Arabidopsis thaliana: one gene and its partners. The protein of the gene in region 4 interacts with the protein of the main gene of each other region in a pairwise test. Each region holds a gene or a part of one and is shown on either strand. Other genes may lie near its edges.

Region 1 (5,550 bases), on a different chromosome or scaffold from region 4:
AACACACTTTTGTAAAATGTTTTGTTTTGCAGTAAGTTTTTTTCTTTTTCTTTCACTTCTTATTTCCTTTTTTACTTGTAAAATCGTGTGCATACATATATAAATGGATAGTCAAAGATGGTATTTTTGTGTGGCTAATGTTTGAGGGGTTCGAGAGAGATAGAACGGTGTAGCTACGTTATGGTTTCGTGGTGAGACCACTTTCTCTGACATGGAGACAGATCAACATCACATGTATGCTACTGCTCCTATTAATTGTTCCTCTTTACTAAAATCAAGAGAGAAATTAACCACTATTTTTTACTTCTTTTGTAATTTGTTTTTTTCATAATTTGATTTTCTTTTGTATATTTACTGTTGTTAAAATAGGTATATAAAACCCTTAATCTTTTGCCCAAAAAAACAAAAACAAAGAAATGTGTTTAATTATGGCAAAAATGAGGAAGGTTATTACATTTTGAACATTAAATACTTTTTTTTTTCTTTTGGTCTTAAACAAATACAATTTTCTTTTGTCTTTTTACGTTCGTCGTTCAATAAAACATACACTCGATCCACAACACACATGTTCACATGCTTCGTGCTCCCACAGGCCACACCAAAATCAAATCTCACCACTACTCATATTATCCTCTCACGTAGCTATTAACCTTCTCCACGACCATTATTGAGTTCAATGTACTTTTTCCTTCATATAATAGAAACGTTTTATTTATAAAATTCAACCTTTCAAGAAACCAAAAAAAAATCATATATATACACATACGTGACACCTTACACGCATGCAAACGCTACTAAAACGCACCGTGACAAAACTCATTTGGAGTCCACGAATACGTAGAAATCAAAAACACAAAATTTCCCGCCAAAATAAAAGATTTGAAGAGAAAACAAACACGTGAGACACACGCCTCCGTCACGTGAAGTCACACACAAGGAATCAAAAATCTTAAAAATCCAAACAAAAAAACAAATTATATATACTTCGCAACTTGATTTTTTTTTTGTTTGATGATGAAGCTGAGGAAGGGTCCCATGAACTGCTGCGATCCATTAAGACAAAGAGCTCAGAAAAATCTCCACTCACAAATCTTTTGCAAACGCTCCCCTGTCTTATCCATCAGTACCTGTGTGATGAGGACTCTAATGCAAATACTCTTCTCTCTCTCTCTCACACACACACACTCACATGATCATATCTTTTCTCTAACACGTGTGTGTTACACTCACTTACTCATTTTGCTTTCTTGGGAATCTGCAAAGCCATTAATGATGAGCTTCGTCTCTCCCAACCAACCAACCAACCCCAAAACCCAATTTTTACCCTTTCCATAAAAGAAATTGTAACCAAAACTCTTATTCCTTCCCCTTGGTTGGAAAACTCTTAATTACTTTAACTCAGCCAATAAACACTTTTACTTTTCTTCATCACTCCCTTATTACTATGTACTTGTTAAAAAATATACTCTACTTAAACAGAAGAGGGTTTTTTTTCTTCTAGGTTTTGTTTCCTTGGTCCTCTACTTTCACTCCCCAAATTTTAATTAGAGGTAGATGTTTCATCACCTACCCATGAATAGCCACTTAATTTTCTCCTTTTACAAGGAGAAGAGGATGAGAAAGAGGATTCATCACTTGGCCTTGTTAACGTCGATGATGCCCTTACACTCACTCGAAGCTTTGCTATCACTTTTGGTGTATTTAACCGGTTATTCTCGATGGCCATCGCTTTCATCAGTCTATAGCATCTCACTATCTTCTCCTGAAAGTCAAATATAACCAAAAGACATTAATTAGCAATCTGTTACTCCCTTGTTCCATCTAAACGTGATATAACAAATCCTACTTTGCTCAATCCGTCACACCAAGTCTCAGGGCTCTCGTGGGGATTGACAACAGAGGATAGAGAAGGTAACTCGTTCGCTACACAGAGAATCGCGGCTGCAGCTATACTCGATGGCCAGTACTCAAGAAAGCTCGCTTCTGTACTAATTGGTCATGTGTTAGAACCAACCCAAAAATGTGCTACCTAAATGACATTATGGATCATATATCATACAAATATTACGTACCTTTTATGTTGGAGAGTATAATCTCTGTAGCATGGGAGATAAAGAACCCGAGAAAGGTACCCGAAGGATCGATCTTGTAAGCAAAGAAGCTAATGAAATCAAACGGTGTAACCGATCTTAGTCTCCAATCTAACACACTTAGAACAAGAAGTTCCATTCTTTTTATAGTTTTTGCTTCAAATAAATACTTCACTCCTGCAACCTACATTACATTATACAGAGATACATAAATTAAAGTTTCTTAAAAAAACAGAGTAAATTCAGAATGTTAAAGAAAGAATGATAATATATGTTTACCTGAAAATCAAAAAGAGAAGGAACGAGAATTTCCTCCATCTTTGCAGCTAAAGACAAGCATGCCACTGCTAAAAGTTGCATTGGCCAACCACTCGTTTCCTATTTTACAGAAATTAAAGCTGATTAATATAATCATTGATTACTATATACTCTATTAAGTTTAATTACAAAATTAATTTAAAATATTATATAGTAGTAGGAGCGTTTTAACACTATGATTACAAAGTTTTCAATAAAGCCGATATATGAAGTGGAAAGTTTACTGCAAAAGTATACTATTATTATGTAAACGTCAATGTAATTTTTTATCGAAAATATAAATTTCAATAAAATAATTAAAAAACGAAAAAAAGTTCCCCAGCCCGCTCCTGTTCTATCGTTTACGTACATTCCAATATAAGATTAATTTCTACTAAATTATTCTATACCGATTATAATTTTTTGCTCTAATAAATTTTTAGTCGTTTTCATTTTTTTCTGAAGAAAAGTCAATAAACAAATCGATCCATTGAAAAAAAAAAAGGGAAATAAAACTGACTTTTTGGGGTTGTTATTTGTCATATCAATATAATAAAAAAACAGAGACAATAGAATTAACTAACGTTGACGTTTTTAAAACATTTACCGGTAATCGACGAGCGTAAAGAAACCGATCCATATAGTTAACGGCGAGGTACGCCGTTAAAGGCTGAAAGTTATAATACGCTTGTACCTGTAAACCAAACAATACCACACTACTGTAAAAAAAAAGATTCTCTGCATGTAACGATTCGATCAGCGTATTTTAGCGTCTACACACTCTCCGGCGGCGTATTTTAGCATTGAAAAAAATGAGAGGTAGAGAAAAAAAGTGAATAGGCTCGCCTTGAGAATCCATGCGACGGAATCTTCTCTAGCGGAAGCATCGAGAGATCGAGTTTGAAATCTAGAGAGATAATCATGTCCAGGAACGAAGTGACGCTCGTCTTCGATAAAACAAGCGATAGAATCACCAGGCCATGAATCAACCTCGGAAGACGAGAAATCAACCGTTGACTCACCGGAAAACACACCGGAGTCTTCTCCACAAAACAAATCCATATCGTTAGAGAATGAAACAGACATGTGTAGATAATCACTAAAACGGTAACTCCTCATTCTCTCCCCATAACCGGAGATGAATCAAACCGGAGCTAGATAAACCGGTGAGATCTAGAAGAAGCGAGAAGAGAGAAGTGAAATGTGAGGTTTTTGAATTTTGTGTGGAGAGAAGAGTGAAGGTTTAACACATTCATTTGTTTGGATATATAAACAAGAAACAGAGATTTTTTGAGGTTTTAATAATTTTTTATTTAAATGTGTTTTTATTTATAAAAATGGTGTTGTTGCAAATGAAACAGAGAGACGGTTACCGTTTCCGTTATGCCCGAGAAAACGGGACTGTTGTCACTGTTCCATCAATCGAGACGGGGCTGGTCCGTTCGTTCATTGGGTTTTGTTTTGAGTTTTTTTATTTGTAGTTTATGTTTGTGTTTTTTGACTAACATGCGCTAAAGTGAAATGCGTAGGTTAGGAACAAGGAGTGGTGTAATTACGTAATACGTGGCAGGTTAAGACGTTGCATGAGTGAGTACATTACAGCTAATGTACGTTTGTTTGCATATTACTCGTGAAGAGAGAAGGCCGTACGTGTAATGTATTAATTGGTGACGTGTAATGTATTACTTGGTGATTAGCTTAATGGGCCTGGATTATGGAACATTTTCTGTGATTTGGACCATTTTGTTGGTCGCTTAGAAAGAAACATTTTTTCGTATTTAAGATTTGGACTTTATTACTATTGGTTAAAAAATAAAAGCATCGAAAAATAAATCAAAATTTTACAGAGGTTTTAAAGTCATGACGCTTAATCATACGTATATATATAAGTATTTGATTTGCTAAAATGCAATTTTTTTGGTTATTGTTTGCTTTTTATGTGATTAGATGTAAAACTCCTGAACCATTTTAGGCACATGACAAATGCTCAATAGATTTGAGGCCATTTTAGATTCAATGATGATTTTTTAATCGAATGTAATTAATTGATGTTTTGCATTATAGTGCAATTTTTTTGCTGTTTTCTTGAATTAACCGTATGATAAATCAGTTTTTTTTTTGTAATATCAAGTGAGGGAAGAAGATTCCAAATTTTAAGATTGGTTATCTAATTATCTTGAATTATAAATTAGTAGTTTAATTGAGATTGGTTAATCAGAGGAAAGCAAACAGTGGTCTGGAGCGTGTGGGAAAGAGTAGTGGAAGTCCTTTTCGTAGAACCGGAGATTTTCTTCACATTCCTTTTTGTATCAATATGTCATATTTATTTGGTCCCTTCTTGGTTTAATTATGCCATAAAAGTGTTAAATCATTGGCCCGTTTTTATTAATCACTCCCGTAGTTACTTTCTTTCACGTGTGCCTTACAAAATACTTTGCTCCTTCGATTTAGATTTTAGACTTTAATTATACCATTGGGATGATCTCGGTTTAGATTGTAGTAGATTTTTCGCTTACCTCTAATATATTTACCCCTTATTTTAGTTTTCAGGTGTATTAGAAAAAATGTTTCATATTTTTTTTTTTTTTTAACATTGTTTCATATTTGTTTTGTATGTGTTTTCTATGCAGATTTGTATAAATTTGTCAATATTTTCATATTGATAAGAATTAAAAATTATGGAAGAGCTAATATATAACTATCACTTGTATGTACTATGTAAATAGTTGACAATGCTTACGTAGATAACGAAATTAACATTGAGAAAATTACAATTCAACAACTACATTGTACCATAGAAATTAGAAACAAATGGGATACTTTTTGAAATAGAAGATAATATATTTTTGGTATCTTCGGCGGAAGAAGACCTTCTTCATTATTTATTTGTTATGGCTAGGTTGGGCTACTAATTCATTTCTCTGTTTAGGTAGACAATATTTAAAACATATGGCTTACATTCAGATTTGCATTCACATTTACAGTTAAATTAACATTTTTATCATGCAGTATATGTTTATTTATATTAACATTAATGAAGTCAAGAAACTGAAATTTGAAAGGAGGGAAAATATGCACCTCCCAACCTACAACAATTTATCAGACTGACTACATTCTCGTGGTAGGGTTCGTCATTTTTGTTAATGTCTTATTTTCTTAAAGA
Region 2 (5,744 bases), about 26 Mb from region 4:
TTTATATAAATCATGATTAAGTACTTACGTCAGATTATGTAATAATTAGTACGTTCATATAGTGCCGGGAGGTTTATTAGTACCATTTTTACTCTCTCTCTTTTTCTTCAATTACACATTTACTTTAAAGTCGATTATTTGATTGGATGCTAAGTTTTAGAAAATAATGTCAAAAATTCTGGTTCTCGAGAGGCTACAAAATTTTAACTCTCCTCTCTTTTTTTTTATTACCGTATTTTCTGTAACCATCATATCTCCCACCCATAGTGACTTTTTTACATGGGACTATCAATTTTACTTACAAAAGTTACTGGTTTACAACGGCGACCATGGTTTGAATTCAGATAAAGATAAAGAAGGAAATGCAGAGAGGTGGGGACAAATTACAAGAAGGAAATGAAAAATAAGATGTGAAAGGTGGAAATGAGAAGTCGCTATTAAACTTTGTAGTAATCTCTCTCAGATTCAGGCTTCGTTTCGCTTGTTACCAATGGCTTCTTTCACATCTTTCCCTCTCGTGATTTACTTATATCTTATCTTTATATGTCTGTCTTGACTCTTGATCATGCATTCAATACAAATAACATCCAAAATATTACTTGTGTGTTTCTCTTTCTTTTCCAATAACTAACATGGAGTACTAATAATATTCAGATTTTAACATAAATAGTACTCCCTCTGTTTCATAATATAAATTATTTTGGACCAATTTTTTGTTTCACAATATAAATTGTTTTCAAGTTTCTATGTAAATTATATATTATTTTATTACTTTATGATTATATATATTAATATGCAGTATCTTTTATGATTGGTTGAACTTTTTAATAGTAAATATTCTTAATCTGCGTGCTTTTATCTAAAACAATTTATATTGTAAAACGGAGAAAGTATTAATTTGATTTGTTCTTTCTTTCGTTTTCACTTCTTTCATTTGAATAATATCCTTTGTTGTTTTGTTCAATCTTTCATTTTTGTATTATAACGAAACTCAAAAGAAGGTATTTTGACCACTAATGTTGTTGTTAAAGTTTTAAACATCCTTTTTGGATAATTTAATTTTTATTGTAAAGGCAAGAAATACATAAATATTTAATCTGCTAATCGCCTTTTTTTTCTTGCCTCGAATCCGAATTTTAACATATAAAGAAGCGAGACAGGTTCGAATTAAATAATCTCTCTTTTAAAGAGATCTTTATAGAATACATAAAAAAAAATCAAACTATTTATAGAAAAAATAAAATAAAAACGAATTTTTGCTTTCAATTTATGTACATTGGACCACAGAATCTGCAAAGCTATGTATGTATCAAGAAAGACGTGACTATAATAAATACCACGAACAATAAATAATTAGATTCTTATTACGAATCTTTTATGTATTCCCCTAAAAAAAACCATGTCATAATTAGTCTCATTAAAATACGATTGTATGTAAAAAAAATCATACCGTATGTAGAAATATGGACTTCATTCTGTAAATAAAAGAAAAATTAACGTGTCAAGATCTTTGTTAATCAGTAATTAAAATCTAAAATGACTTAACTCAATCCGCAACACATAGGACTGGGAGCGTAATCATCACGATCCGATCGGGACATATGTTTGTCTCCATCGTACGGATAGGGTATATGAGCGTGTTTTTCACGCGCATCATTCGCGTGAACTAAGAATGCTAATGAATTCGTTAATTCGTTAAAATAAAATAAAATAAATTATATTAGAAATTAAAAGAAAAGAAAGAAAGAAAAAAAAAAAAGACAAGGCGTGAGATAATAAAACCCTTTGGCTTTCTCATAGAGATTTGTCCGGTCTCTTGTTCCTCTTTCTCCTTTCTTCACTGTAGAATCCGTCGACCAAACAACTAGCTCCAATGGCATAATGAGCATTGTAGTTTGCAATTTCTTCTTCCGTGAAGAAGAAGAAGATGGCTTTGGAGAAAGAGGAAGAAGCGTCACAAAACGGTGCGTTTTGTGTCCTTGATGGGCTCTATTGCGAGGAAGAAACCGGGTTTGTGGAGGACGATCTTGATGACGATGGAGATTTAGATTTTCTCGAGAAATCTGATGAGAGTGTTGTAAAGTTTCAGTTTTTACCTCTTTTGGATATGTTCTTATGGGATGACGATGAGATTCTGAGTTTGATTTCAAAGGAAAACGAAACGAATCCATGTTTTGGGGAACAAATCTTAGATGGCTTTTTGGTTTCTTGTAGGAAAGAGGCTTTAGATTGGGTTCTTAGGGTTAAATCTCATTATGGGTTTACTTCATTGACGGCTATACTTGCTGTGAACTACTTCGATAGGTTTATGACAAGTATAAAGCTTCAGACTGATAAGCCATGGATGTCTCAGCTTGTTGCTGTGGCTTCTTTGTCTTTAGCTGCTAAAGTTGAAGAGATTCAAGTTCCATTGCTCTTAGACCTCCAAGTTAGTTTCTTTTCTCTCTCTCCTTCTTATAATGTTTGCTGAAATGCTGAGTTCTAATGGAGTTGTTTTGTTGTGTATTTGTGGTTTAAGGTGGAAGAAGCAAGATATCTCTTTGAAGCTAAGACGATTCAAAGAATGGAGCTTTTGATTCTTTCTACTCTTCAATGGAGAATGCACCCTGTGACTCCAATCTCTTTCTTTGATCACATTATCCGGCGATTTGGCTCTAAATGGCACCAGCAATTAGACTTCTGTAGGAAGTGTGAGCGTCTTCTGATCTCTGTTATTGCTGGTGAGGTTTCCCATTTTAAAACCTTTACGATGTTTTTGTTTGGATTCTTGTTGCTTAAATTCTGAGTCTTGGTCGCAGATACGAGGTTTATGAGGTACTTCCCTTCTGTCTTAGCTACTGCAATAATGATCCTTGTCTTCGAGGAATTGAAGCCATGTGATGAAGTTGAATACCAATCTCAAATAACGACTCTACTCAAAGTCAATCAGGTCTGTTGCTTAAAAAGGCTTTGTAAATTAGTCCAGTTATAATGTTAAAGATGAGAATCTGATTCAGCATTGACTTCACAGGAGAAAGTAAATGAATGCTATGAACTGTTGTTGGAGCACAATCCAAGCAAGAAGAGGATGATGAATTTGGTTGATCAGGACAGTCCAAGTGGTGTATTAGACTTTGATGACAGCTCAAATAGCTCCTGGAATGTCTCCACTACTGCTTCAGTGTCCTCATCATCTTCGTCTCCAGAGCCTCTGCTCAAGAGAAGAAGAGTTCAGGAGCAGCAAATGAGATTGCCCTCAATAAACCGTATGTTTCTCGATGTGCTTAGTAGTCCTCGCTAGTACCTTTCTTTGATCAAATGTGTCAAAACATAAATTCAATCTCTCTTTTGCTTATTATTATCGGCCATCGGCTACAATTTGAAGGCAGAACATTTTGTGATAACTCTAAGTTAATTCTGCCTCTTAAATCATAATATTCATTGATCAATCAGTATTGTGTTCAAGTAGAATGTTGAATAGAGAATTCAAAAGTCAAAAAGTAAGGAGTAGTACATCGTCCTTGAAATCTCAACAAACACTAGCAATATAGGGCTTTAGACTAAGTAAGAATTGACTGATATATGAGCATCAGTAACAGTAAAAAGTAAAAAGTATCTCTCTCTTTCTTTCTATCTATCACTCTCTCTCTCTCGTGATATGTCAATTGTTTGATATGGAAATCTCTTGGACGTCTTTTAATTTTGTGGAGATAAGATTGGAAAAAGAAGAGTGGTTGATATAAATGATAAACCTGAAACATCTGATTTCTTCTGTTGGGTTAGTAAAACATGTGAAAGAAAACCTCAGTTGTACCTTTTGAGCAGACCTAGGCAGAAACAAGAAGAGTGGTTGGTTTTTTCCATAGATTAATTTCTTTTGTAAAAAATAATCTCTTTAAATTTTGGGGTAATTTTCAATTTTGATTTGAAAGGAAAGGATTTTGAGACCAGACAAAGGGTGGTTCAAGTACTCGTCTTGTTTTTATCCTTGAAGATGAAAAAAATCTGGTGGACATATATGTATGTAAGTATGTAACACCTTCCTCCTATGACTTGAATTTACTGTCCCATGTCTTGTCAAAGACAAAGACAATAAATATGTTATTAGCTTTTAAGCACCATCTGTGAATAACCCATTGGACATTTATCAGAATTTCAGACACACATATATATAGATTCTGACATATATATGAATTAATGTGTTGGTTTTATTGGAATATGAGATTTTAAGTAGCTTTCTTGGGGTTTTTAATATTACTTGAGATATTAGTGAGTAAACCAATCAAGACCTCCCTAATAATCTTTGATGATTTAGTCCTTACTCATTCAAATGGTAATTGTTTTTGTATTTTTTTTTGGTAAAATGGTTTTACTTTAGCTATCGAAATTGATGATATTGCTGAAAATAGCGTCTTCAACGGTCGGATATGTTTTTTTAGCAGAACAAAAAGAAAAAGCCTGTCATTTTTTTTTCCATCATAAAAAAAGAAAATAAAAAAGCCTGTCAATTATAGAAAAAAAGCTTTATAATTTTTTGTTTTAAAGTAGTATACGTACGTCGGTCTTTCCCACCAACATCCCACACGGTAAAGCTCACGTTTTTGTACTCCACGGTCTTTATACGTTACTTATATCCTTGTTACATATTTAAACAAATTCAGCACACACAAATAGTTGGGAAAAATAATGAGACACAGAATAAAATAAGACATGAAATAAATTAACCAACGAAAAAAAAGAAGAAGAGAAACTTCCGATGGTTACTTATTGGTGGTGATGAACAAAAATACTTCTTTTTTTTCATGCAAAGAAAACTAAAAAAGGAATAAGGTTCTGCCTTTAATGAGTTATCTGATAAGAAATAAAGATTTGGAAAAAGCTTCATTCATCTTTATTCTGAACAGTGTTATAAGCTCACATTTTTACTTTTTGAGGAAAAAGAAAATCATATAAACCTTTTTATTTCATGATATTTGTAACCAAGAAAAAAATGTTATAGATTAAAAATAGGTGAAGCTAATAAGATTACGGGTCTCATTATGGGAATACAAAGAGGATTTTTTACAGTGGTAAAGAAAGTACTAGAAAATAGAAAACCGATTATTTATTTAGAGATGACTTCTTTGGCAGATTGAAGGGTGGATTCAACGGCAGCAGCAGCTCCGACTAGAACGTCGCCGCTAGTTTTGGGATGAGATTGATGAACCACTTGTACATTTCTTTGCTCTGTGCCTTTCCCCGCCGAGGAACGTTGCTCCGTTGTTTCCACCACCACTTTTGATGATGATCCATCCTCTTTTCTTTTTTCAGTCTCCATTTCCTTACAAGTAAAATCAAATTACAAATATTACAATTTAATTAATCCGTTTCAAATTTATATTACAATTGAATGATTTATCATATTACTAAACGAAAAATACAAAGAAGTAAAAGAAGATGAATTCATCATACCTTCGTGGATTTTAGGTTCATAGCTATATTGTAATAGAATTTTTTAACTGGAGTTTAGGAAAAAGTAACAGAAATTAAATTTATAAAAGAAATTTTCTAAAAGAGCAGAAAATCGTAATTTTTGGGTATACGAACGTCCGGTTCTTGCGTTTGTCTTTCTGTTCCTCTCAAAATATCAATAGGCCAGCCTAAGTGTTAGGACAAACTTATGTTTAATTATTCAGCACTGCTACTAATCAAATAAGATGTGAAACTGTAGGGGCAAAACATATTATACCATAAGGACCACAAAACATCACAACAATGATATTTTC
Region 3 (5,127 bases), 7.9 Mb from region 4:
TTTTATATATTGGAAAGAATTGTATTTTCTTTTCTTACTCACACATAATTTTGAGTTTTATTCAAAGTATGATACAACATTGATATATACTACTTATATCAGCTAACACATTTAAAAAGTCTAATAATTGTTTTGGTACTTACGTATTTTGGGTTTTATTCCAAAGCAACACGACAGTAATATTGATACAAACTGCTTCCTATGTCTTATTGTAAGTGTTGTTTAATTTTTTTTACAGATATCAAGAAAACAACTAAATTTTGAAATTTTATTCTTGGTCCATACAATTAAGTAGTAAGGATACAATTATTCTTGTAGAAGCCGGATTTGCCAGAAGAGGACCGGCCATCTTTGCTAACAAAGCCAAAAAGATGTCGGGCAAAAGCCCAAAACTTGGGACGGCAGTTTACCAGAATAATCCGGTCGGCAGAATTCAACAGTTCCTCTCTCTAAAAGATATGAAGGAGAGAAAAGAGAGGTGATCATATTATTTGAACTATTCAAATATGCATTCTTTTGTCCAAAAATTTTGTAATATATTACTGGGCATACTTAATGCCATAAAATACCCAAATGACATGTTTAACAGTCCATACCCTCAATCAAACCGTCCTATCATACTAAACATGTTTAATGATATACGAAATAAACACACCTCTAATAAATATCTCTACCCGGTCGGTTCGTACTAACATGTTTGACACCGTTTTCATTACGGTGCTACCATTCGAACTCGTAGTTTGTTTCTGATTGTACAAGGCTACTAAAAATGTCAAAAACGCAATCTCAAGACACATGTGGTCAGGAATAAAAAAATTTCCAAACATTACCATCTGAATATTATGAGTCGTCGTACATGTTAACTACAAGTCTACTACACTCCTAAACCGACCATGGTTAAGCTTAAGCCGACAAAAACAACAACAATAACAACAGATGCAGAACCAGGCCAAAACCCCTGTTATACACACAAATCCGCGCTCTCTCCACCCGTAAAAACCACTTTCTTTATTCTTACTATATGAATTGATCGGAACAAACATCACATTCAGCGGATTTATGCGACTAGACTGCAGACCGACATCACACACACAACCGCTACCACACCGACTCTGAAAAGCCCTCTGTATGAACATCCCATGGCTGCAATTTTCTTGAATATGAAACTAGTCCTGCTCTTTGATCTTGTGAAATTTCCACATCCTTTCGTCATAGTTTCCGTTGTTGTGTCCTTAACCTATATACATTTTATCGCATAAATATAAGGATCATAAATTGTAATACATGAGAAGGTATGAAAACAAACTTCTTCTCACCTCTTTCTTGATAAATTGAAGTTGTGTACTGTCAGTTTCTGACTTGTGGCTGTTAAGGTTAACCTGAAGACGCAGCCTTCTTGAGGCATCGCCCTGCATTACAAACTGCTCAGCACAACCCGGGGCTTGTGCTCGTCGAGCTCTAATCTTAATTCCTCTCTTAGATTCATCATTGATCTTGTTGCATGAGCTAAGATTCTGTGGCTCATATGGGATCTGTTCTGGCTCATAGGGAATGTCAAGAAAAGAATCCAAGAACTTGGACATATATTCATCCGCATCATTTGTACCGTACTGAGTCTGAATGTAATCCTCATTGTGGTTTTTGAACAATTCACTAGACTCAGATTGTAAGCCATTGAAAGAGGAACCGAGCTCAGATTGCACCTGAGAGTGCAACGGAGAGAACAGCTTCGGGGAATCAAACTCCATAAACGAGAGCCAATCGATATCGTCAAGCTGTTGAGTAAAATGAAGTTTGTAAGTTTACAAAGCGGTTGTACCGCCTCCTGTAATGAAAAGAATGTATTTTGTTCATCCTTACCCCGGTGGTTGTAACCTCAGGGACAGAGTATCCACTACGACATTCGCTGGGGATTACAAGAGAAGACTCTGCGACGTCACAAGGATTAGTCTCTTCTGTTTTAGGGAAAACAGGAGATACCTCAGACATTTCAACCTCGTCCACAACAGTTGGAGACGATACCGCTGGTTCAACTTCACATGACTTTGACTCTTCTGGTTCAGCAGCTCCGTTCACAATATCTTGCTTCTTAAACAACTTACAAACAACAAACGGATTCTGCAACCAAAAACAATCAAACAAACACAATCAGAAACACAAAAGACCTACACACACAAGTTAATGCCATCATTTGCCAAGTTGGTTTTTACCTGGCCAGACTTTGTTCCATCAAGATCCTTCTCAGTAGCACGATACTCATGCATAATCCAACAAGTTCGTGTCCCTTTAGGAGCACGACCTGTATAAAACACTAGAGTCCTCTTAACACCTATAATCTTAGTCTTTCCTGATTTGATCTTACGGTCTTTTCCCGTCGCCTTCCAGTATCCAGCCACAGTAGCTCTATTCATTCGACTTCCACTCGGATATTTCCGGTCCAAAGGACAAAAGAAGAGCCACTCTGAGTCTGTTGTCTTCACCACAGAAAAATCTACACCACAAATACTAAAGTATAAATCTTTACTCAAATTCACTAAGTCCACTACCTAAGCTAAGAAGTTATTGATCATATTGTTCCAAATTCAAACATGCATAAACCGGAATTGAAGCCTGGGAATTGCTAAACCGAGACTAAAGAGCTAAAGATGAATCAACGAATTGATTTGATGAAGAAAGGAATTACCAGGCAAATCCCAAGGCTCCCATTTGCAGATATCGATCTCACGAATTACTCTAACGTCGTTATCGTGACCGTTGATCTTGAGCCGGAGATAGTACCGGACTAACTCTTCGTCCGTTGGACTAAATCTGAACCCAACCGGTAGTGAAGCGAGCGATAGTACTTCCATGTCTTCTTTCATAGTTGCGTGAGACTTTGAGAATTCGAGAGGAAAAGAAAAAATCACAAATTCGACTTCAAGGTGATATCTAAAATGAATTTGGATCAAAGATGCGATTCAAAGGTATATAGAAGAAAACTAAGAAAAAACCAGATTCCAGAATTTGATGAAGTACGAAAAGAAAAAACCCTAAAATTTGACACGATTTGGTAAAGTGGAGAAGAAGGAGATGTGACACGATTTGGTCAGACAAGAGAGATATCAAAGACAAAGAGATGAAAAAGTGGCGCGTGGATAGGCGTACCACTGTTTCCCAGAAAGTCATAAAACACAAAACCACGTTCGTTACGCGTAAAAGGCAAAACAGAATGTAAATACCTATTTTACCCCTGAAGTATTGCAGTAAAATAGTTACGGAAATAGGGGTTATATGAGTCAAAAGGTGAGGATGTCTGAACGAGAGATGTCACCTAGCGAATCATATATTGACACGTTGATGCTATAAAGGAAGCTTCGTGATAGTTGTACGGAAGTTAAAGAAGAATTAAATAAACTTAATTGGTATCATATTGATTTACCAATATGAAACAGTTTACACAACTGGCCAGCCCATCTTACTAATAGTGTTTGTTGTTAAAGCCCAATAGATGAGAACCCAATTCAACCATTTTTTTTTCTTGGTCGTGTGAAGTCTGAATCAATTTATTTAAACCAAATAATGTAAATCAAATAGGTTTAAACTTTAAAACGTTTGATATCGAAGTCCGTTGGTACTCAAAACTAAACCTCAAAAACAGAGAAGAAAGTAGCGAGCGAAAAGGAAGATCTTATTTATCTAAACTTAACGTTCGGCCGTTTACAAGATATGTTTACAGCCAAGCCTCGTTTTAAGAGATACAACAAGAATAAAACTACACAAGTCAATTGTCGAGCTTATGTCTTTGAATCCGAATGAGAATGTTCTTGTACTATTCTCGTCCGACTTCAGGTGTCCTTTTCTGGCATTCCTCTGTCAATATTTATAGTACTTCAATGAAAGTACACAGTACCATTTTCTGAGCGATATGAAACTTCTATGGCGGCTGATCCTTTCCAGAAAATGGGCCTCATCTCGCAATGGGCTGCGGCTTTCTCAGGGGGGCTGGTCTTCATCATTCTTAACTGAGGTTTTCAATGACTCTTTGTTTGGGCCTCCGAATGTTAAATGGGGCGAAGCCCATATCCAACAAAGTTTATCTAAGTCATTGCTTTTTGTTTTGTTTTTGGGTTTAGACCTCTGCGTTTCTAGTTTGAGGATAGTCTCTTATAGTGTTTGATTAGTTGGAATGTAATCTTTTACAACCATAATTGTTTTTGTGAAGACCAAATTGTTGTGAATTAGTTTTAGAAAAAAAAAAAATCTTGTGACCGTAAATCTTATATTTCTACAACCTAAAACCATATGTTGTTATAAGTTCTATAAGTTATATTTTTAATTTAATCTCTCTTTTATTTTAATTTTATTTCCTCATGATCATTTTTTATGTGTTGCTTATATAATGTACACTAGGCACTAGATGGATATATACTAATAGTATAAATACCATGTATAGTTTTGTTTGTTAATGTATACTTATGTATAAATTTTGAACAACATTTGAACAAAAAATTTATATGTATATATTCTTTTCAACTAATATGTAGTTATTATCCGACTAACATATAAACTATTTTACATGTTTATATAGATTCCATTTAACCTATATGTGCATCACAAAATTTGTGTTGTTGTTTATTATATAGTTTGGTTAACTATAATATTTTATAAAATATTTACTAATCATATTTTAAGATACGACTAATAAATTTACTTCTAAGACTTTATATCCCTAATATCTACACGTATAACAATAAAATACACGGTTGCATTTTACACGCTGACGGTCAAAATTTTACAGCGAATAATTTACGGTGACATGCCAACCAATCACTTAGTTACTAAAGACGTTTACTTTCTATCTCAAAGTTCAGTTTCTGGAAATATTTTATTTTCCGTTGTTTAAAATCATAAATGTATGTAGCTTTTAAAATAGTTTTTGGCTTTCGAATTTTAGTTTGTAATTTTTTTTTTTGGTGTAAATGTTAGTTGTTTGAAAAATTTGAATGGTAATTAGATGTGGATTTTAGTTTAGTTTTAATTTATTTGAAAAACAAAGAAAAAATATTAAAACTTGAATATGTGGAAATCTCTCTTTTTATTTTTATTTTATTTAGAAAATTATGTATTTCCTCATGATCCTACTTAGTG
Region 4 (5,161 bases):
TTGAGTGATATGATTACTAATCCTAAAATATTATTTAAATCAATTGTAGTGACGAATTGCATTATTGTGCCCCCAGTGAGTGTAACAAAATTAATACTATTTTTTATGTATAGTTATTTATCCATTGAAGTAGGATTATGCGTCATCATCAGTGTTTAGTATACATCGGCCTACGAATTTAATTAACTAATCCAGCTTTGTTGACTATCTAAGTGTATTATAAATTCTAAAACAATCGAATCAAAGAGTTTGAGGATAACTACGAGGACAACATATTTTTTACTTTAAAAAAAAAAAATGCATTTTGAGTCAGTTTTATGAGTATCATATTAGCTTGTTGATGTATTTCACCATGTCAGTTTTTAATTTATGAAGGCGAGTAATGATTGTGTAAAAACAATTTTGGGCAAACATAGGAAAAATATAAAAAACATATTAAATTTCCAAAATTAAATAAATAGTCTATTACTCTACTAGATTTCAGATGTTAAGAAAGAAAAAGCTACTGGAATAAATACGCATACCATATGATACGGTAACATTATTTTGTTTATTGTATGTTCAGTTCCTCAAGGGACACTTGAACATTATGAATAATATATTTACTGCAATAGATATAATTGTTTATGTGATATAAACGAAAGTTGACAAAAAAAGAAGACTAATTAAAGAGTAGAATTAGTGAACCAAAAAAAAGAGAAGAAAGAATCAAACATGACTTTAAAAACTCAATAATTGAGATCTGAGAAGACATTGAAGATGACCCCAAAAAGATATTGGGAGTTGCCACCTCTCATCTCCCAAAACAACGACAGATATACAAACAGCAAACAAACATTTAAATAGATCACACTATTTCTTTTTTTTGTAATGACAAAACATATATTTATATATTCTGACAACACATAGAAACATCAAAGTAAACAAATCAAATTTGAAGTTATATTGTTTCAAAATCTTATGATAGTGCATAGCTATGAATAGCATGAGGAATTGATTAGTCCATACCGGTCTGATTAAGGTATACGAGAAGGAAGGTATACATAAAGGTTAAACAAAAAAAGAGGTGAAGAAGAGAAACATGGCTAGTGAAACTCTAAACGGTTGGAAATGATGATGAAGCAATGAGTAAGAGAATGACTCTCCGCAATCAAGCAGCGTAGGAACTAGGAACAGCTTTGGTTCTCATGGCCATGCTCCAAACTTTCTTATCAACTCGAACTAGTTAAAACTACAAACAAAATAATTTAATTTAATCTTCATATGGAGAGAAAAAAAACAATCATGGAGAACAAGTGGCAAGTACCAAGTGGTTGCAATTATCATAAACATATCCTTTTTCAAACTTTAAAGCTTTTAATCGGTTAACAACTTGAACAAACAGTTATGCTGAAATTTATCATATAGTTTTCAGTACTATACGAGTACGATCATCGTATAAAGAAGAAAAAGAAAAAGGATCAAGCAACTATGCATATATTCTTTCGATCTAGTGAAAGTGCAACGCAACCTTCTCACACGTTGCAGGCTTAAAGCACTAACGTGTAAAACTATAAGCATCTTAGAAAAGAAATAAAAAGTATATGAGAATAGTGAGTTTTTTTTTTTAATAGTTACAAGTTGATGATACGGACCATGTCTTATATATAAGACGAAAAAATCATAAACTTTATAAGCTAGCGATAATGTTTTCAATAACTTAAATGCATACGTACCAAACATTTTTTCAAGATTCAGTGAACTTAATATTATTATTTTTTAAACAATTGGATCGAATACAAACACAACTGTCAACATATGTAATAGAGACAGCCAAATTTTCATTATTTATTTGGTAACGTTATCGATTATCAAAGAGTTTAATACGTGATCGATTTTAGACATATAATTAGCCCAACGGGCTTAAAATTACAAAGAGTTACAAAAGGCCCATTTAAATCCCCCGCCAAAGTTGAAAAACGACACCGTAGCGGTTGGGTTCGAACACAGAGAGTGCGTGTGTTTTGTTTTTGTTGAGGCTTTTGATGGGCTATGGAGAATTCTGTGTTTGTTTGTTGTTACAGTTTGTTTGTTTGTTTATAGCGGGAACTCTCACCCAAAGTAATTTCATCTCCGATTTTTTTTTTTTGGTTGTTGTTCGCATCTCTGTGTAATAAAAAGAGTAAAACCAAAACCCTAGAAAAAAAATCTCCATCTTTTTTTATTCCGCCATTGGAAGATCGATCACTGGTTCGTTCTTTGATCTTTTGAAACGGATTCGAGCTTTAGCCTTTATTTCTCTGAACTAGGGTTTTCTTCACCATCGTTAGATCTAATCCAACTGGTTGATGATTCCCATTTCATAAATTTTGTTTAGCTTTTGTTAAAAAATTGAAATTGGAGCTGTCAACAATTTAGGGTTTTTTAGATTGTGTCTATTGATTCATCGGTTTTAGTCAACGATGGATTTGAGACATGAACAACTAATTGATTTGATTTCGTGTAGCTAACTTTGTTAATTGGTAAATTGTGTAGAGAAGGATGAGTATGGAGATGGAGTTGTTTGTCACTCCAGAGAAGCAGAGGCAACATCCTTCAGTGAGCGTTGAGAAAACTCCAGTGAGAAGGAAATTGATTGTTGATGATGATTCTGAAATTGGGTCAGTGTTAATTATTCTTCTTACTCACAAAGTCTCTGGTTTTTTTACTTGGAGCTAAAATGTCTGTATTGAATTTGTGTTTAAAAGATCAGAGAAGAAAGGGCAATCAAGAACTTCTGGAGGCGGGCTTCGTCAATTCAGTGTTATGGGTCAGTGATATATCTCTCTTAGCTCAAACATGCCTGAAGTGAAAGTATTGTTGTTTTGCTGATTTTGATTTAACTTCACACAGTTTGTCAGAAGTTGGAAGCCAAGAAGATAACTACTTACAAGGAGGTATTACTCTCTTTGTTCCATTAAGGAATTGGTGATGTAATCAATGAGTTTTCAGTTTAAGACGCATTAGAATTGATCTTTATATGAACAAGTATTCACTTCAAGAAGCAATCCTCTAAGTTAGTTGTTGAGCATTGTCTCAAATTCTTCTTCTAATCAGGAGTCTTGCCCTTATATAGAGGCATTGTATCAGAAAATGTGAAAATCTACGTTTGAGACTGTGGCTCTTGTGATTCCAGGTTGCAGACGAAATTATTTCAGATTTTGCCACAATTAAGCAAAACGCAGAGAAGCCTTTGAATGAAAATGAGGTATAGCGAGATGGAAAGCTCATATCATCTGTCTTGAGTTATTTGGAAAAAAAAAAAGCTATAACAACATTCTCTTATGTTCAATCAGTACAATGAGAAGAACATAAGGCGGAGAGTCTACGATGCGCTCAATGTGTTCATGGCGTTGGATATTATTGCAAGGGATAAAAAGGAAATCCGGTGGAAAGGACTTCCTATTACCTGCAAAAAGGATGTGGAAGAAGTCAAGGTTTAGCTTCCAAGCTTTTCCTTTCAGTTATCTCATCTATGTAATTGCTCTCTCTCTTCGTCTTCTCTACTAATCTCTCTACCTCTATTTGCAGATGGATCGTAATAAAGTTATGAGCAGTGTGCAAAAGAAGGCTGCTTTTCTTAAAGAGTTGAGAGAAAAGGTGATCTTCTTTCTGTTTGATGGAAAATTTAAATACAAGACTCTCTTAGAATTTGAGATCTTGTTATGCATGTCAATAGATGACAAAAGTTATTGATATTGCAGGTTTTCTAGAATCCATAGATACGTCGTGTATTGAATCATTTTATGTTGTCTTAATGAAATGTTAAACCGTCTTTCTACGTTTTGCTTATAATGTTACTCAAATGTTGTTATCATCAGGTCTCAAGTCTTGAGAGTCTTATGTCGAGAAATCAAGAGATGGTTGTGAAGACTCAAGGCCCAGCAGAAGGATTTACCTTACCATTCATTCTACTTGAGGTACTTCAAAAATCTCTTTCTCGTCCGTAGTTTCTATTTCATGTTTTTCGATATCCTAATCTATTTCCATCTCTATAGACAAACCCTCACGCAGTAGTCGAAATCGAGATTTCTGAAGATATGCAACTTGTACACCTCGACTTCAATAGGTAAAAATAAACAACATTTCTTCTCAAAATCAAAATCAGTTCTGCTATCTCTTAAATCGGAATTGAAATCTTCGTAAATTTTGTTGTGAGCAGCACACCTTTCTCGGTCCATGATGATGCTTACATTTTGAAACTGATGCAAGAACAGAAGCAAGAACAGAACAGAGTATCTTCTTCTTCATCTACACATCACCAATCTCAACATAGCTCCGCTCATTCTTCATCCAGTTCTTGCATTGCTTCTGGAACCTCAGGCCCGGTTTGCTGGAACTCGGGATCCATTGATACTCGCTGACCGAGCTTCTATTCCCAAATTCTTCAAGAAGAAGAAGTAATGATCTAATTGGTATACTAAAAAATTATACATCTGGTTTAGTGTTCAATTGAGAGAGACTGTAAAATCAATTCATAGGCCAACAAATGTTTGTTTATCCAATTTTCCTTTTTATTCGAACTTGATGCGATATTTCAACGGAAACAGAAACTATTGTTTTAAACCAAAACTAACCGTGTTGAATCTATTGGCTATTTTCCTTCTGTTTGATTGGTCTAACAAATTTAGTCTCCGGTTAGGTTGGTTTACCGAAGCTAGTTAGATTCAATTTACGCGCTTAAATGGCGCGTGTGCTAGGAAAGTTCAAAATTTGCAATTCCCATGCAAAAATAATGTTTTTTGTCTGGAAAAGGAAAAAAAGAGACATCGCGGCGGTTCGAGGGAAAGAAAAGCGAAATTGGTTGGGGACACTTCGGAAGAATGTTGGACTGTTTTTCAATTGCCGTCAAAATAAATACTATATACTATTCTTTTCATCAACTTAATCTACTCATTCTCAATACATTTTAAATCAATATCATCTAATATTATTTAGTAATTAGTGTTGGCCCATTTTAGTCCAATCTATTAGTTACTTGTTTAGTTAAAGTTGAGGTATATAGACGTACTAAAATTCAAGCACAACCAATTTCTCTTCTGTATAATTAGATTTGTAGCTGATATAGTCCACAAAAGCAGTAGATATCATATCAGCCCTAATTTTCTTATAGAACAACTAAGATATATCACAATTGCAGTTT

The links.
Region 1: the proteins of DPA (region 4) and CYCD1;1 interact in a two-hybrid assay, tested with the Arabidopsis thaliana proteins (one large-scale study listed by BioGRID).
Region 2: the proteins of DPA (region 4) and CYCD3;2 interact in a two-hybrid assay, tested with the Arabidopsis thaliana proteins (one large-scale study listed by BioGRID).
Region 3: the proteins of DPA (region 4) and TIP interact in a two-hybrid assay, tested with the Arabidopsis thaliana proteins (one large-scale study listed by BioGRID).

Annotation. Positions count from the first base shown.
Region 1 is NC_003070.9:26,437,971-26,443,520, reverse strand, and holds CYCD1;1 (CYCLIN D1;1), read right to left. Parts: upstream 3,966-5,550; 5' UTR 3,869-3,965; coding exon of another isoform or gene 3,725-3,868; 5' UTR 3,507-3,724; coding exon 3,234-3,506; intron 3,082-3,233; coding exon 2,995-3,081; intron 2,469-2,994; coding exon 2,370-2,468; intron 2,275-2,369; coding exon 2,073-2,274; intron 1,984-2,072; coding exon 1,847-1,983; intron 1,763-1,846; coding exon 1,541-1,762; 3' UTR 514-1,540; downstream 1-513. Other genes in the region: AT1G70209 (uncharacterized protein), read left to right, coding at 3,725-3,868. UniProt on the Arabidopsis thaliana protein: May activate cell cycle in the root apical meristem (RAM) and promote embryonic root (radicle) protrusion.
Region 2 is NC_003076.8:26,834,386-26,840,129, forward strand, and holds CYCD3;2 (CYCLIN D3;2), read left to right. Parts: upstream 1-1,754; 5' UTR 1,755-1,927; coding exon 1,928-2,428; intron 2,429-2,518; coding exon 2,519-2,720; intron 2,721-2,798; coding exon 2,799-2,929; intron 2,930-3,010; coding exon 3,011-3,245; coding exon of another isoform or gene 3,246-3,280; exon of another isoform or gene 3,281-3,489; intron 3,490-3,911; coding exon 3,912-4,003; intron 4,004-4,992; exon of another isoform or gene 4,993-5,083; coding exon of another isoform or gene 5,084-5,109; coding exon 5,110-5,163; downstream 5,164-5,744. Other genes in the region: AT5G67265 (uncharacterized protein), read right to left, coding at 5,084-5,299, 5,431-5,451. UniProt on the Arabidopsis thaliana protein: Promotes divisions in the guard cells (GCs) after the guard mother cells (GMC) symmetric division when in the presence of CDKA-1.
Region 3 is NC_003076.8:8,415,863-8,420,989, forward strand, and holds TIP (TCV-interacting protein), read right to left. Parts: upstream 3,215-5,127; 5' UTR 2,862-3,214; coding exon 2,684-2,861; intron 2,492-2,683; coding exon 2,211-2,491; intron 2,119-2,210; coding exon 1,861-2,118; intron 1,776-1,860; coding exon 1,317-1,775; intron 1,238-1,316; coding exon 1,058-1,237; 3' UTR 513-1,057; downstream 1-512.
Region 4 is NC_003076.8:541,783-546,943, reverse strand, and holds DPA (Transcription factor DP), read left to right. Parts: upstream 1-1,988; 5' UTR 1,989-2,229; exon of another isoform or gene 2,230-2,514; 5' UTR 2,515-2,520; coding exon 2,521-2,639; intron 2,640-2,726; coding exon 2,727-2,788; intron 2,789-2,871; coding exon 2,872-2,915; intron 2,916-3,154; coding exon 3,155-3,226; intron 3,227-3,314; coding exon 3,315-3,455; intron 3,456-3,549; coding exon 3,550-3,618; intron 3,619-3,839; coding exon 3,840-3,938; intron 3,939-4,016; coding exon 4,017-4,087; intron 4,088-4,180; coding exon 4,181-4,382; 3' UTR 4,383-4,626; downstream 4,627-5,161. UniProt on the Arabidopsis thaliana protein: Involved in the regulation of the G1/S transition. Increases the DNA binding and the transactivation activities of E2F proteins after heterodimerization. The complex DPA/E2FA promotes cell division and acts as a regulator of the endocycle.